Linked DNA regions of Mytilus edulis. The protein of the gene in region 2 interacts with the protein of the main gene of each other region in a pairwise test. Links are inferred from orthologs where the notes say so. Each region holds a gene or a part of one and is shown on either strand. Other genes may lie near its edges. The genes, in order: histone H4 transcription factor-like and transcription initiation factor IIA subunit 1-like.

Region 1 (7,486 bases), on a different chromosome or scaffold from region 2:
GAATACCCTCCTTTCCTTTTGCTGGCATAAGTGATATAAACCATTTTAAAGGCAAGGCCCACCTCTACCTCTGGTATCATGATAAACGTGGATCATCTTTTATTTTTGGCCATCCGGCAATAGTTTATTTCGACTCTGTTATATACCAGGGTACCCTCCTTACCCTTTGCTGACAAACTCGTACAGATCAATGGAATAAGAAGTATGGGCCATTTTAGATGCAATGTCCACCACTACCTTTGTTATAATGGCCTATGTGGAGAATTTCTTTGTTTGGCCAGCCGGCATGCAATAATTCATTTCGACTTCGTTGTAAACATAGATACCACCTCCCCCTTTTAACACTTTGCTGAAGCACTGGTACGGGTCTACGGCATAAGTGGCCATTTTTGAGGCTATGGCCACTTCTACCTCTGGTATCATGGCCCATGTGGAGAATCTCTTCGTTTAGCCAGCCAGCAATAGTTTATTTCGACTTTGTGATATACTTAGGTACCCCCCTTACCCTTTGCTGATTAACTTACACGGGTCTGGGACATACGTGTTATGGCAATGTTAGAGGTAATGCCTACCTCATCCTCTGATATAATACCCCGCGTATAGAATCTCTTAGTTAGGCCAGTCGGCTTAATTTATATTTTCGTTGTAAAAAGAGGCATCGCATCCCCCCTTTAACCTTTTGCTGACAAACTCGTACAGGTCTAGGGCGTTAGTTTTTTCAGCCATTTAAAAGGCAATGCACACATTTAACCTAGGATTAATGGCCAACTTGGAGAATCTCGTACTTAAGCAAGCCGGCAATAATTTATTTCGACTTCTTTGTAAACAGAGGTTCCAACTCCCTTTTAAACCCTTTGATGATACCGCGTACTTCTCTAGGGAATAAGTGATTTAGGCCATTTTAGAGGCAATGACAACCTCTACCTCTGGTATCATGGCCCACGCGGAGAATCTCTTAGCCATCCAGCAATAGTTTAGTTCGACTTATTATATACTAGGGTACCAACCTTACACTTTGCTGACTAACTCGTACGGGTCTAGGTCATACGTGCTCATGGTCATTTTATAGAGACAATCCCTTCCTCGACCTCTTATATTATGGCCCGCGTGGATAATTTCTTAGTTTAGCCAGCGGGCAACAGTTTATTTCAACTTCGTTATATACCGGGCTAATTCATCCCCCTTTTAACTCATTGTTGACAAACTCGTTCGGGTCTATAGAATAAGTGCTATGAGCCATTTTTAAGAGAATGACTACTCCAACATCTAGTATAAGGGCGCACCTAAAAATGTCTTAGTTTGGGCAGCCGTCACTATTTTTGGTGGACTGTGTGATATACTAGAGTATTCCCCTTACCCTCTTCTGACCAACTCGTACGGGTCGAGGACATAAGTGCCATGGCCCATGGACCATTTAAGAGGCACTGCCTACCTATACCTCTGGTATAATGGCCAACGTGGAGAATCTCTTAGTTTGAATAGCTGGCAATAATGAGGTTTATTTTTACTTCGTGATATACCGGCGAAACTCATGTCCCTTTTAATTCGTTGCTGATAAACTCGTGTAGATCCAGGACATAAGTGCTATAAGCCATTTATAAGGGTTTGACTACCTCTTCTTCTGGTATAATGGCCTACCTGGAGTATGTCTTAGTTTAGCCAGCTTTCAATAGTTGTTTTTTAGACTAAGGGATATACAAGAGTATTCCCCTTGCCCTCTGTTGACCAACACCTACGGGTCTAGGATATTAGTGCTTTGAGCCATTTTAGAGGTAATGCGATATATTGTAAAAGACATGAAATTTCATGTACAAATCATTTATAATGTGAGTATGGTCTGTATTTAACTCCTAAAAGGACATGGTATTTTGAAGTTCAAAATGAAACCTGCCAAAAATATACACATTTTATATCGGACATAAAGCAAAATTATCGGACAAAAAGCAAAACGGACAAAAAGCAACGGACAAAAAGCAAAAGTTTCGGACAAAAAGCAAAATAATCGGACAAAAGGCAAAACGGACAAAAAGCAACGGACAAAAAGCAAAAGTTTCGGACAAAAAGCAAAATAATCGGACAAAAGGCAAAACGGACAAAAAGCAACGGACAAAAAGCAAAAGTTTCGGACAAAAAGCAAAATTATCGGACAAAAAGCAAAAGCGGACAAAAAGCGAATTGCGGACAAAAAGCACCGTATCATACGTGTATACGTACTCGTGGGCGTCTAGTGTTTTTAGATGCATTTCTATTTGTATACATCTGATGAGTTAAGGCAGCAACCATTTGATTTTCTGGGGGGGGGGCTATGTTTTTTTTGGAAAAAAAGTTTGTTTCCAGTTTTCGGAGAAAAAAATAATTTGTTTTTGATTCTGAGAAAAAAAAAATTGTTTGTTTCCCCCTCAGCTGCCACTATATGTAATGCTAAAATTGAAAGAAAAAAAATGTTTTCGACTTGTTGCGAAAAAAATAGATTGTCCAGAAAAAAACCCCATAGCCCCCCCCCCCCCCCCCCCCCCCCCCCCCGAAAATCAAATGGTTCAGTGCTGCCTAAGCTTTTTAAACTGATTTTTATAGTTTGTTCTAAGTGTTGTTCTACTACACTACTGCCTCTGGTAAGGGAGGGGGAGGGGTAACTAGTACCAACAAACTAGTGTATCCCCGCCCCATTCTGTATGTGCCTGTCTAATGTCAGGAGCCTGTAATATCAAATGTTGTTGTTTGTTGCTGTGTTATATATTTGTTTTTCGTGAATTATTTTCTGCATAAATTAGGCCGGTAGTTTTCTTGTTTGATTTGTTTTATATTTGTCATTTCGGTACCTTCTATAGCTGACTAATCTATGCGGTATGGGCCTTAATTGTGCATTGTTGAAGGTCATACGGTGTATGACCTATAGTTGTTAATTTCTGTGTCTTTGGTGATTTGTGGGTATATAAATTACTTGGTTTCGTTTAACTCTCCCTGACCGGAAACCATTATCATTTCTGTGAAACAAACAAGAAAATGAATTCTGAAAGATGAATACAATTAATTTACAATATGACAAAACCCTGAGAAATTTAGGATACTAACATATACTCCCATATCAAGGATATTGTGGCAAGAAATCTGAATTTACAAGGAATGTAAATATTTCGTGCCGAAGGTCGGTGTTTCTTTCCTGGCATTTGGGCTTCCTTCATCAATAAAAAGTGACTGCCACGAAACAGCTAATAGTGCTGAAAAAAAAGTAAAAACACAAAAATACTAAACTCCGAGGAAAATTCAAAAAGGAAAATCCAAAATCAAAATCGAAAGTGGCGGTAACAACAATCAAGCAATGGCGGGACTACATTGACCATGATATTTTAGAATATATATATAGTATTAATCGGACAAAGTCATAGATGTCAGAAGAGCATACATATAAACAAGCTTTTTTGAAAATGTAACATGTTTCTAAAGACCAGCGGTCTGATCCCGGATCTATTGAACATAATTTATACATAATTGCTATTTAAAAGTATTTGGGATTTCCGATTATTCTACTTTCACTATCGTCGTTAGCGTACGTCACACCTAGCCGACAAGTCAACAGGTATGAATTAATGTAACTATGTGCGATATTATATTTCTGCATCTATTTTTCTTTCAGATTTTATCACTGAATAACTGACATTTTGATTAAGTCGAAGTTAGCTTAAACATCTAAGATTTACGTCCAAGTTGCTAGTATCATATGACGGTCACCAATATCTGCAATGTTGTAGCAGTTTGTCTGTTTGTTGTCCACATCTCTCCCCTTCGAAATAATTTATTAGGTGATTATGTTTTTATTTCGTATTATGTATGTATTTATGAACTGGTAGATTGCTCCGTTATTCGGAGATTAACGTAGCTGTGTTACTAACGTGTTAAAACGATCAGTCTCCAGATTTAAAATGACAACCCCCATGCATCTTCTTCTTCATCTTCTTCTTCTTTATATACAGAAAAACATCAACTGGTTGATGATTACTTTCCGGCGCATGTCTGGTTTGATAATATTGTTAATGATTAAAAATATATATTTTTGGTTTCTAAATAATTTTTCAATTTTTATGATACAAATGTATATGTAAGTAATATTTTTCAATTTTTATTTTTAATTTTTGGTATAAGATAAAAACAAGATACATATTATACATGTAGGTGTTTGTAAGTGTCAAGGAGCATCTCTCTAGTGAGTTTCTCCTTGAAGCACTCAGTAGTGGTGCTGCAGGCTATTGGTTCTGGTAATTTGTTCCAGTCTTTTATAGTTTGGCAGAAAAATGAAAATTTGTAACTGTCTTTGCTGCATCGAATTTGTCGGTATGTTTGTTCGTGGCTAGACCTGGTGTTTGATTGGCTTTTAATTAATATGTCAGTATGTGGTATGGCAATTTTGTTGTTTGTTATTCTATGGAACATATTTAATCTGCTTTTGAGTCTCCTTTCTTGTAATGTTGGCCAGTGGAGTGTGTTAATCATGTTTGTTACACTTTCAGTATATTTGTAGTTTGAGCATACATATCTCGCTGCACGTCTTTGAACTTTTTCTATGGAGTTAATGTTCTCTGTTGTGTAGGGGTCCCAGACAGTGCAGCAGTATTCAAGTTTTGGTCTAATAAGGGCTTGGTATGCTCGGTCTTTGATGGTTACTGAGTTTATTTTTAAGTTTCTTCTGATGAATCCAAGGGTCTTATTTGCTTTAGATGTCATGTTCTGAATGTGTTTGTTCCATTTTAAATTTGATGAAATAGTTATACCTAAATATTTTGCATTTTCAACTGACTCAATAATGTGACCGTGCATGTTGTAATAAAAATGGATAGGTGTTTTCTTTGTGGTCACTCTAAGTATGTTGCATTTATCAGGGTGAAACTGCATTAGCCAGTCTTGTTTCCATTTGATTGCTCCTTCTAGGTCTTCCTGGAGTTTAAGGCAATCTGATGGTGATTTTATTTGTCGGTAAATGATGCTATCGTCAGCAAAGAGCCAGATTTGACTATGATGTAAGTAGTCAGGTAAGTCATTGATATATATCAAAAATAGTATTGGACCTAATACAGTGCCCTGAGGAACACCTGATGTAACTGGTAAGTTATCAGAGGAATGGTTTTCTAGCATAACTGTTTGTGTACGGTTTGAAAGGAAAGATTTTATCCAGTTTGCGGCTTGATCTGATACACCGAAAAATTTAAGTTTATATAGTAAACGGTTGTGTGGAACTTTGTCAAAGGCTTTTGCGAAATCCATGATGATAAGATCGGTTTGTATATTTTTGTCGTTATTTGAACATAGTTGGTGAATTAGTGATATTATTTGGGATTCGCATGATCTATTTGCCCTGAAGCCGTGTTGCAAGTCATAAAGTATGTTGTTAGATTCAAGGTGTTTCATAATGTTGCTTGCAATTATGTGCTCTAGTAATTTGCATGAAATACATGTAAGTGAAATTGGACGATAGTTACCAGGATGATGTTTGTCTCCTTTTTTGAAAACAGGTGTTACATTTGCGTGGTTCCAATCGTGAGGTACTTTTCCTGTTTGCATTGATTTTGTAAAAATTAGAGTGAGTATGTCTGTGCATGTGTTGATGTTTTCTTTAAGCACTATTCCAGTGATGTTATCAGGTCCTGTTGCCTTTTTTGGGTTTATATTTTTAATTAATTTATAGATGCCTTCTCTGTTGATGTCTTTGTCGTCCATTATTGGATGTGTTGATGGACCTTTGTCAGGGATAACTGTATTGGTCTCAGATGTAAAAGCTGATTTAAATTGTTCATTTAATATGTTAGCTTTTTTCAAGGGATCTGTATGAAGTAGACCTTCACTCCTAAGAGGTGCAATACCAGTGTTTTCATTGTTTTGGCCTTTTATGTATGAAAAGAGTTTTTAAGGTTGTTTGTTAAATCTCGAATTTTCAGGCTCTTGTATTTCAATGTCAAAAATCATGTTTTCGATATAATTCCAATAGGCATTTCTCATCTCTTTCTGTAATTGTGTTTTAATTTGTTTAAATTTTTTAGTATGTTTGCTATCATGTTTTTTCTTTTTATAAAATTTGTTTTTCTTATTTATCAGTTTTTTCAATTTTGAGTCTATCTAAACACAAAGGGAGTGCTAGGACACCGAGAAGCCTATTATTATCGTTGGATGATGCCTAAAAACTCAAAAAGAACTACCGGGACACTCGACGGGAACAGACAAACCGCAGAGATATCTGAAGATTGATCTCCAGGTCAAAGTAGGCTTGGGGACTTTGACCAACCGAGGCCCGCAATGTAATCATTCAAGTTTAAACTCCCGCCTCGGTCGGTATCAGAGAAGTGTGGTGGGTGAAAAAAACCTTTGTGATGAACTGAAATATCCAGCGTCCCGAGTCAGAAGGCAACCTTGTTACGTACCTTCAGCACTGTAGCCATCGGTATGAAACCATGAAAACTTTAAAGAACCCATGCTGGTATGCATCTGATATACGTTCATTTATAATGGAATACCATAGAACTTTCAAAACTTAATTTCATTGAGATATTAACCTTATAATACCACTGAATATTTTCATGTCCTTCAGGACAAGCTCTTATTCAGAATAAAAGACTGTAAATTAAAAATTCTCCATCATCCTGAATATCATACAACTTGTACATTTACATTTCTGCATATATGGTATCTTAATCTTTATTTATCAAAATTTTCAACTGAAGAAACTGGTCGAGGTAATCTATATTCATGCTATTTATTTTATTTTTGATTGTTTAATTGTGCAAATCAGTGCTTCTAGCTCTTATAACGTGTGCAATTGTTTATATCACAATTTTCTAGATATCAATTCACATTTTTGTTCTGGATCTCTATTTTGACATAGTAGCTGTCTTTCAAGTGAGTCTAGTATGATTTCATGTACCACATTTACATAAAAGTTCAACTTTGGACGTTGGGAGTATTATAATTAAACTGCCTCGAGTGTTGAAATATCGTAATACACTTGTTGCAGTTGTGGAATCTATATTTATCACACTGCAGTCAATAGGGGCGTGTTCTAACGGTTTTTTTTGTTTGAATTTGAACACATTTCAAATAAGAATAAAATTGCATACAAGAAACGGAAAATAGCAGATAGACGAAATGACCCTGAATATCAATTGATTATTAATAAAATGGAAACTAGAAAACTGTAAAAAATTGAATGATATTACAGAATTCATATTTGTATAGGAATTTCTTAGTTGAATCTTCCTTTTTTCATTTATGCCCTCTGGGGAAACTGTCCTTAACTTTCTTATCCAAAATCTTTCCCGAGCGACTCTGTCGACCTCCGACCAACCCTCGTTGTGGTCTATGATTGTGGTGGTAAGTTTTTGAGATCAGCTTGGGCGTGCCCATGTGATCTCAAATGACGACTTATGGGTAGGTAGGGCTTGCAAGTGTAGTCACTTCGATGACCATTCATGCGTTAGTTGAATGGCTGCTCTGTCTCGCCAAC
Region 2 (7,528 bases):
TTTGACAACATGGCCCATTATTTTTCAAATGGCCCATTGAATTTATTTTTGAGGGGCCTTGGGCCCATAGTGAAAAAAACCTTCCAGATCACTGATGGTATCTATTTTTGTTGTAAACTGCATGCTTTAAAACTCTCAAATAAATTTTCGATTAATAAGTGTATGCATATATGTATCTTTGAAATCTGCTCACAGTAGTTTGAGATGAATTTTAGTGATTTTTCAGTAACAAAATCTATCTTTTACCCATTTCCAAAATTACAGCTTGTGTTGTCCTTTGGAAAACAGTTATTTGGTGTTATACACATATATAAATAATAATCAAAAGTGGGATATAATTTTAAGTGTAAGCCAACACATGTTTTTAAAAAATGTTAAAACAACCCAAATAAAACTGGTTCCTGTTAATGGATCATTGTTTTCAATTGGTGAACATAGTGAACTAACATGTAAATGTATGACACCAAGAAAAGTTACAAATTATTAAATCATTTTCCTTGATATACTGGAACTAACAAAATTTCTTAGGTTTTACACAATTAAGGAATGACTGTAATATTTTTTCTGTCTATGAAGAAATAACATAAAAAATTTGGTGCACACTGAATAACGCGCGTAGCAGGTTATTTTTACAGTGTGCACCACATTTTTTATTTTATTTCGAATAGACAGAAAAAATATTAGTCATTTCTTATAATTTAATTTTAAATTCCATTTTAAACCGTAGAAAACCATGAAAAAACGTTGATGACGTCACGGTCACATGACTAAATTATGTCTATGATAACAAAATAACGTCAGCCAATCAGAAGACGCGTTATATTCTAAATTAAGTTATTGTATAATACATTCAACTTTAACTCAAAATTATTACATGAAAACCTCTACTTCTACTGTGAGTTTAGACAACTCTTAAAAGTTTTAATTTCATAAAAAAATTTTAATGATAATTAAGTTCTATTATGACTAATAATGTCACCTGTTTAAGTTCTTGTAGGACTTGCTCATCAACTCCTTCATCTAGAAAGGCTTCTCTTACGTTAGCTATCACATCATCAACAACTGACTTGTATAATCTCGGCTACAATTAGAAAACAGAAAACATTTAACATCTATCATTTCAACCTTTTCAACATTGTTTTGATTGGTATTGTTTCTAGTACAAATTTATAGCACAATTTCTGCTTTTCTTTAACAAAGCATCTACAGTTACAACTTACATGACAATCATATAAAATGATTTTTACGATTTAAGTATAAACACCCTGTATGTATGATGTAAATATCATTCTCTTAGTTTATAGAGATTTATTGATTTGTGTTTAGCTCCACCTTTAACACTACTATGCTTTTTTGTTCCTGTCAGTTTTTATTGGTGGAGGAAGCAGAAGCGCCCAGAGAGAACCCCCAACCTTTAGTAGGAAAACTGACAATAATAGTCAACTAAGATAAGACTCTTATCATAAGAGTCAAGTGCAGCTGCCTCATACAGAATTCACAGGGCAGCATAATATATCTACTTATTCATTTTTATCAAATACCTGTTTACTCGAAGAAATATTGATACAGGACATTTTTAAAGAAACTAAAGTATTACCAGAATAGGAAATGAACACCCAGATATGAGGCTTGTAATGGACGAGTAACAGCTAAAATTCTTGCCATATGATATTAGAATAACGGGAAAATTCTTGTCATATAACGTTAAAGGTAATTTTTTATGCATGACCATTAAATGTTATTCTTTCAGACGATATTTAAAATTGTTTAATGAATCGCGTTAATTTTTTCCGAAAAATGATGATACTCTGCAAGTCATGATAAGGATATTTTTTAACAAATCAAGGTAGAATTTTAACCGATGATAAAGGGCATTACTGAGGGGGGATAGGACCATTATCGGGACTCCGGAATGGGGTGTTTTTAAGCTCGGGATTTCAGGATTGAACCTTTCGGGATCTGGAATTCTTTTTTTTGAATTTCAGGACCTCAGAATTTCATGTTTTTAAGCCCCTGATTTCGGGATTTCATGTTTTTAAGCCCGGGATTTAGGGATCAGGATCCCTCCTATCCCCCCTCATTACTACCCTCAGATATCATATTGTAAAAAAAAGCATTTTTTACGTAATGACAAAATAAAGCAGATCAAGCTCACAAAATATAAGGGCAAATACAAAGTTTGACAAACGCATTTATGACATTTATACATTTGTTTTAATATTCATTTATATCCATGTATAAGACTTCTATTAAGGTTCATGTGGACCCTATGGCTAAAATGGCCGTATTTTCACCTCAATATTTACTCTGAGTACAGACAAACCTGCGCATCTGTAAAAAATTTCAGGCATAGCATGCCCTAGATAAATAAATTTCAAATATGTTTTATGTTTTAGAAAAATAAAAACTTACCAGGATTTTGCCGTGCACTTTTTTTCATTCCTCCAGAAGGTGCCAAAATAAACTAAGTTGGGAAACAGGTTTGAGAACTTCCCCACAGGTAATAATTGAAGTGAGCTGTATTGCTAGACATGGACATGAGATGGACAATAGATACCTGACAATAATTGGTTATTTAAACTGTGTACCTGAGTGGACCATATCAAGGTAAACCCAACTGTTTGTTAATTTTATCATCTTCTGCAGGGACGAAAAAAAGTGTACGGCAAAATCCAGTTCAGTTATGAATTTTCTAAATCATACAATACATTTGAATTCTATTTATCTAGGGCATGCTATGCCTTAAAACTTTTCCAGATGCACAGGTTTGCCTGTACTCAGAGTAAATTTTGAGGTGAAAATACGGCCATTTTAGCCATAGGGTCCACATGAACCTTAAACTAACATGAAAAAGGGGGGTTTAAAAGATGCAAAATATTGTGTACAATACATGAAATACAACTTGTAATGAGCATTTTAGTGGTATTTCTGATATAGCAATTAAAATGTTGGATGCTTTATGGTTTTCCACAAGTACATTCAAATTTTCATTCAGGTCCACCTGTTGTTCGGTGGTTGATTATATCAGTTTACAAATCAAGATGGATTCCATTGTTTTCGATATATGATTTTTTTTATGAACGGTATTGACATTTTAGACAACAAATATTTTAACATAACAATCATTTTCTTTTGAAACTCACCACCTGGTTAGGTGTAGCCATTATTTAATGGTTTGTTTATGTCCGAGGAAAACGAGTCATATATTCCTCTGACTTGTGGGCTGTAAGAAAGCCGAAGTCGACTGCCACTGCTGCGCTTATATAGCTGGTATTAAATCCCGTATGTCTAGAGGGCGCTGCTACTGTTGACGTCACAAGCACCTGCCAGCTGATTGATTGTCTCGCGATATATTTCGAGGATAACTTGACGCGGGAAATACGAAATGATTACAAGAAAAGATTGCATATGTTAAATTAAAATATCGAAATGCACAGAATTACTGTCCCATTGGAAATCGATATGTCGTCTAGCATTTTTATATATTTTTTTATAAGTGTTACATATGCCTATTTGAAATGCCTGTTTGTTTATCTGTGTTTAAATTCAGAAGCAACCCGATTGTTTGGATTGTATACTACGGCCAAGGATTTGTATAGTGAGACTATACAAATCCTTGCTACGACAGAGACATATATATGTTACAGTGATTTTGTATAATCAGGGATTATGTAGAATCCCTGATTTTTCAGGGAATATGTAGAATCACTAAAACCATTAGTAATTATATATATAATCCCTGAAAATGACCAGTGATTTTACATAATCACTGAACTTTTTAATAATTATTCTACAAATTCCCTAATATGATTTCAGGGATTATGAATAATTTAATTATCCTTTGTTTGATAAAAAAAAATAATATAGACCTTGCCAGATGAAATAATTTTGCTTTTAAACACAGAGATTGATCTAAAAGATATAATCAACCGTGACAGGGTTTCGAGATAAAGTTGAAGACTTCAAAATTAATAATATCAACATTCCCTTTATAGCAATAGCTTTACATGTATTGTTTGTTTATTAAAAGCCAGCGTCAAATGAATATTCAGGTAAAAAAAAGAAGATGTGGTGTTATTGCCAATGAGACAACTGTCAACAAGAGACCAACATGACACAGAAATTAACATCTATAGGTCACCGTACGGATTCAACAATGAGCAAAGCCCATATACCGCATAGTCAGCTATAAAAGGCCCCGAAATGACAATGTAAAACAATCCAAACGAGAAAACTAACGGCCTTATTTATGCTCTATTTTTAAACCACAAAGCATGTTATTTGTGATACATGTAAAGCAAATGGTGAAGAAGGTTATGGAACATCTGTTTTGTGTGTTTTTGTTTTTGTTTAAATGAACAAGACATTCAAACTGTGAGAACTTAGGCATCTAAATGTAGGGAAAACAGGCAGAACTTAGGATTGACACATAGAAACAAATTTTAGAGGAAGCTTGCATTTGGTGTAATATTCTCATAGCAATTCCACATGGTAAAAAAGGAAAAGGAAACCCGAAAAACATAATGACAATTGTTTTAAAAAAAATCTGAAAAAGGTAGCACCTGACTACAAAACATGGTATCTTTCTTGCTCGTACCGGTTCAAGGTTGCAAATTCCTATCTTTTCTTGTGGTAACCTTCAGATGTTTTACTAAACACTTAATTTCACTTAGGCGTGTCGTTAAAATCTGATTCGATATGTGCAGGAAAAGGTTTCCTAAAATGTGGATATTGTGGTAATAACAGATGTGAAGCATATTATTTTTATATATTGTTTTTCACATTTTCATGTAGTGTGCCTAACATTTAAAAACTAGAGGGTCCAAGGACCCTGTGTCGCTCACCTGATATTTTTATTTACAATTGTTGCATGATAAATGCAACTGTTGTACTGTCGTTTAGTTTCAGAGATATAATACTAAAAAGTGCATTTGAAACCTATGTTTAATTTCAGCCATGTGGGCAGGCAGGGTCATCATACACAGTGGTCCCTGGATATCCTAGTGGTGATTTAAACCAAGTTTGTTTAAATTCAACAGTTGTTTCAGGGGAGAATTTTTGTAAAATTTATCTAACAAGAAATGCAAAGTAATGAGAAAGTTGTGAAGTAGTTTTGTTGTTGCGCAACACCCCCCCCCCCCCCCCCCCCCCCCCCACTTTGCCAAAAAAACCAAAAAGGTAATAAAAAATTATCATATAAGGGCAATCTATCCTATTAATGATTTCTGCAAAATTCAGTTGATTGTGCAAGGGTTGTATAGCCAGCTGAGGTCGTTAAAAACTCTCTTTCTTTTGTTGTTGCAGATAGATCTTGACCTGATAAGCAATTCTACCACATGTCAGATTTGCTCTAAATGCTTTGGTTTTTGAGTGATAAGCCAAAAACTGCATTTTACCCCTATGTTCTATTTTTAGCCATGGCGGCCATCTTGATTGGTTGGCCGGGTCACCGGACACAATTTTTAAACTAGATACCCCAATGATGATTGTGGCCAAGTTTGGTTTAATTTGGTCCAGTAGTTTCAGAGAAGAAGATTTTTGTAAAAGATAACTAAGATTTACGAAAAATGGTTAAAAATTGACTATAAAGGGCAATAACTCCTAAAGGGGTCAACAGACCATTTTGGTCATGTTGACTTATTTGTAGATCTTACTTAGCTGAACATTTTTGCTGTTTACAGTTTATCTCTATCTATAATAATATTCAAGATAATAATCAAAAACAGCAAAATTTCCTTAAAATTACCAATTCAGGGGCAGCAACCTATCAACGAGTTGTCCGATTCATCTCAAAATTTCAGGGCAGATAGATCTTGACCTGATAAACAATTTTACCCCATGTCAGATTTGCCCTAAATGCTTCGGTTTTTGAGTGATAAGCCAAAAACTGCATTTTACCACTATGTTCTATTTTTAGCCATGGCGGCCATCTTGGTTGGTTGGCCGGATCACCGGGCACAATTTTTAAACTAGATACCCCAATGATGATTGTGGCTAAGTTTGGTTTAATTTGGTCCAGTAGTTTCAGAGGAGAAGATTTTTGTAAAAGATAATTAAGATTTACGAAAAATGGTTAAAAATTGACTATAAAGGGCAATAACTTCTAAAGGGGTCAACAGACCATTTTGGTCATGTTGACTTATTTGTAGATCTTACTTTGTTGAACATTTTTGTTGTTCACAGTTTATCTCTATCTATAATAATATTCAAGATAATAACCAAAAACAGCAAAATTTTCTCAAAATTACCAATTCAGGGGCAGCAACCTATCAACGGGTTGTCCGATTCATCTCAAAATTTCAGGGCAAATAGATCTTGACCTGATAAACAATTTTACCCCATGTCAGATTTGCCCTAAATGCTTTGGTTTTTGAGTTATAAGCCAAAAACTGCATTTTACCCCTATGTTCTATTTTTAGCCATGGCGGCCATCTTGGTTGGTTGGGCGGGTCACCGGACACAATTTTTAAACTAGATACCCCAATGATGATTGTGGCCAAGTTTGGTTTAATTTGGTCCAGTAGTTTCAGAGGAGAAGATTTTTGTAAAAGTTAACGACGGACGACGACGACGACGGACGACGACGACGGACGACGGACGCCAAGTGATGAGAAAAGCTCACTTGGCCCTTCGGGCCAGGTGAGCTAAAAATTGGGTTATCATTTTGATATATTGTGCTTAACATTTTACAATTTATGTTACTTTATAATGATGTTTTTATGTGATTTTATAGAATAAATAATTTCAATTTCATTCATTTTCTTTATAAATAAAACTATTAATTTCTTCATTTCAGTTATTATGTAGAATCCCTGACGTTTTTTCTAGTGATTATTCATAATCCCTGAAAATTTTAGTTATTATATATAATCCCTAAACTAGGCAGTGATTCTACATAATCCCTGAAAATTTCAGGAAAATTTCAGGGATTCTACATAATCACTGATTATACAAATTCACTGTAACATATACACAGTGTATATATGTCTCTGACTACGGTCTGAAGGATATAAAAGATCAGATATGTCCAAAAATTAAAGGACCAAAAAATAACACCCAAAGAAATGTACTTTAGCTAGATCAGCTTTGCCCCCAGGGAATTGAAACCCTGCTTTCGTAATCATTTCTTAATGCATCAATAGAAAAGTTTCAAATTTAGTTTGTTTTTTTTAAATTGAAAATTTTATTTAATTGAAAAAAGTAGTTGACAATAGGCCTATATCTAGCAAAATGTATAATTGGTTTAAAATCATGATTTAAACTATACAAATAATACTGAAATTCGATATTTTTTTTTTGTATTTAAGAAACTGGACAATTTCAGTAATAAGACATATAAATATTGATTTCTCGTTGTATGATACTACCTTAATTCGTCTTAAATCCGCTTCATTTCGACTTATGAATGTTGAATTATTATCTTATTTACCATTATACCATTTTTCTTAAAACATCATCACAAAAATTGAAAATTGATTATAGTAATTTATTTTGCTTTTCAAATAATGTAAATCCTTTAAAAGAGACA

What was found.
Region 1: the proteins of transcription initiation factor IIA subunit 1-like (region 2) and histone H4 transcription factor-like interact in a two-hybrid assay, tested with the Drosophila melanogaster proteins (2 studies listed by BioGRID). The link is inferred for Mytilus edulis from reciprocal best matches to the Drosophila melanogaster genes TfIIA-L and Hinfp.

What each region holds. Positions count from the first base shown.
Region 1 is NC_092348.1:81,079,914-81,087,399, reverse strand, and holds the start of histone H4 transcription factor-like, read right to left. Parts: upstream 3,287-7,486; 5' UTR 3,073-3,286; intron 1-3,072.
Region 2 is NC_092346.1:68,137,086-68,144,613, reverse strand, and holds the start of transcription initiation factor IIA subunit 1-like, read right to left. Parts: upstream 3,295-7,528; 5' UTR 3,165-3,294; coding exon 3,144-3,164; intron 1,082-3,143; coding exon 980-1,081; intron 1-979. UniProt on the Drosophila melanogaster protein: TFIIA is a component of the transcription machinery of RNA polymerase II and plays an important role in transcriptional activation. TFIIA in a complex with TBP mediates transcriptional activity.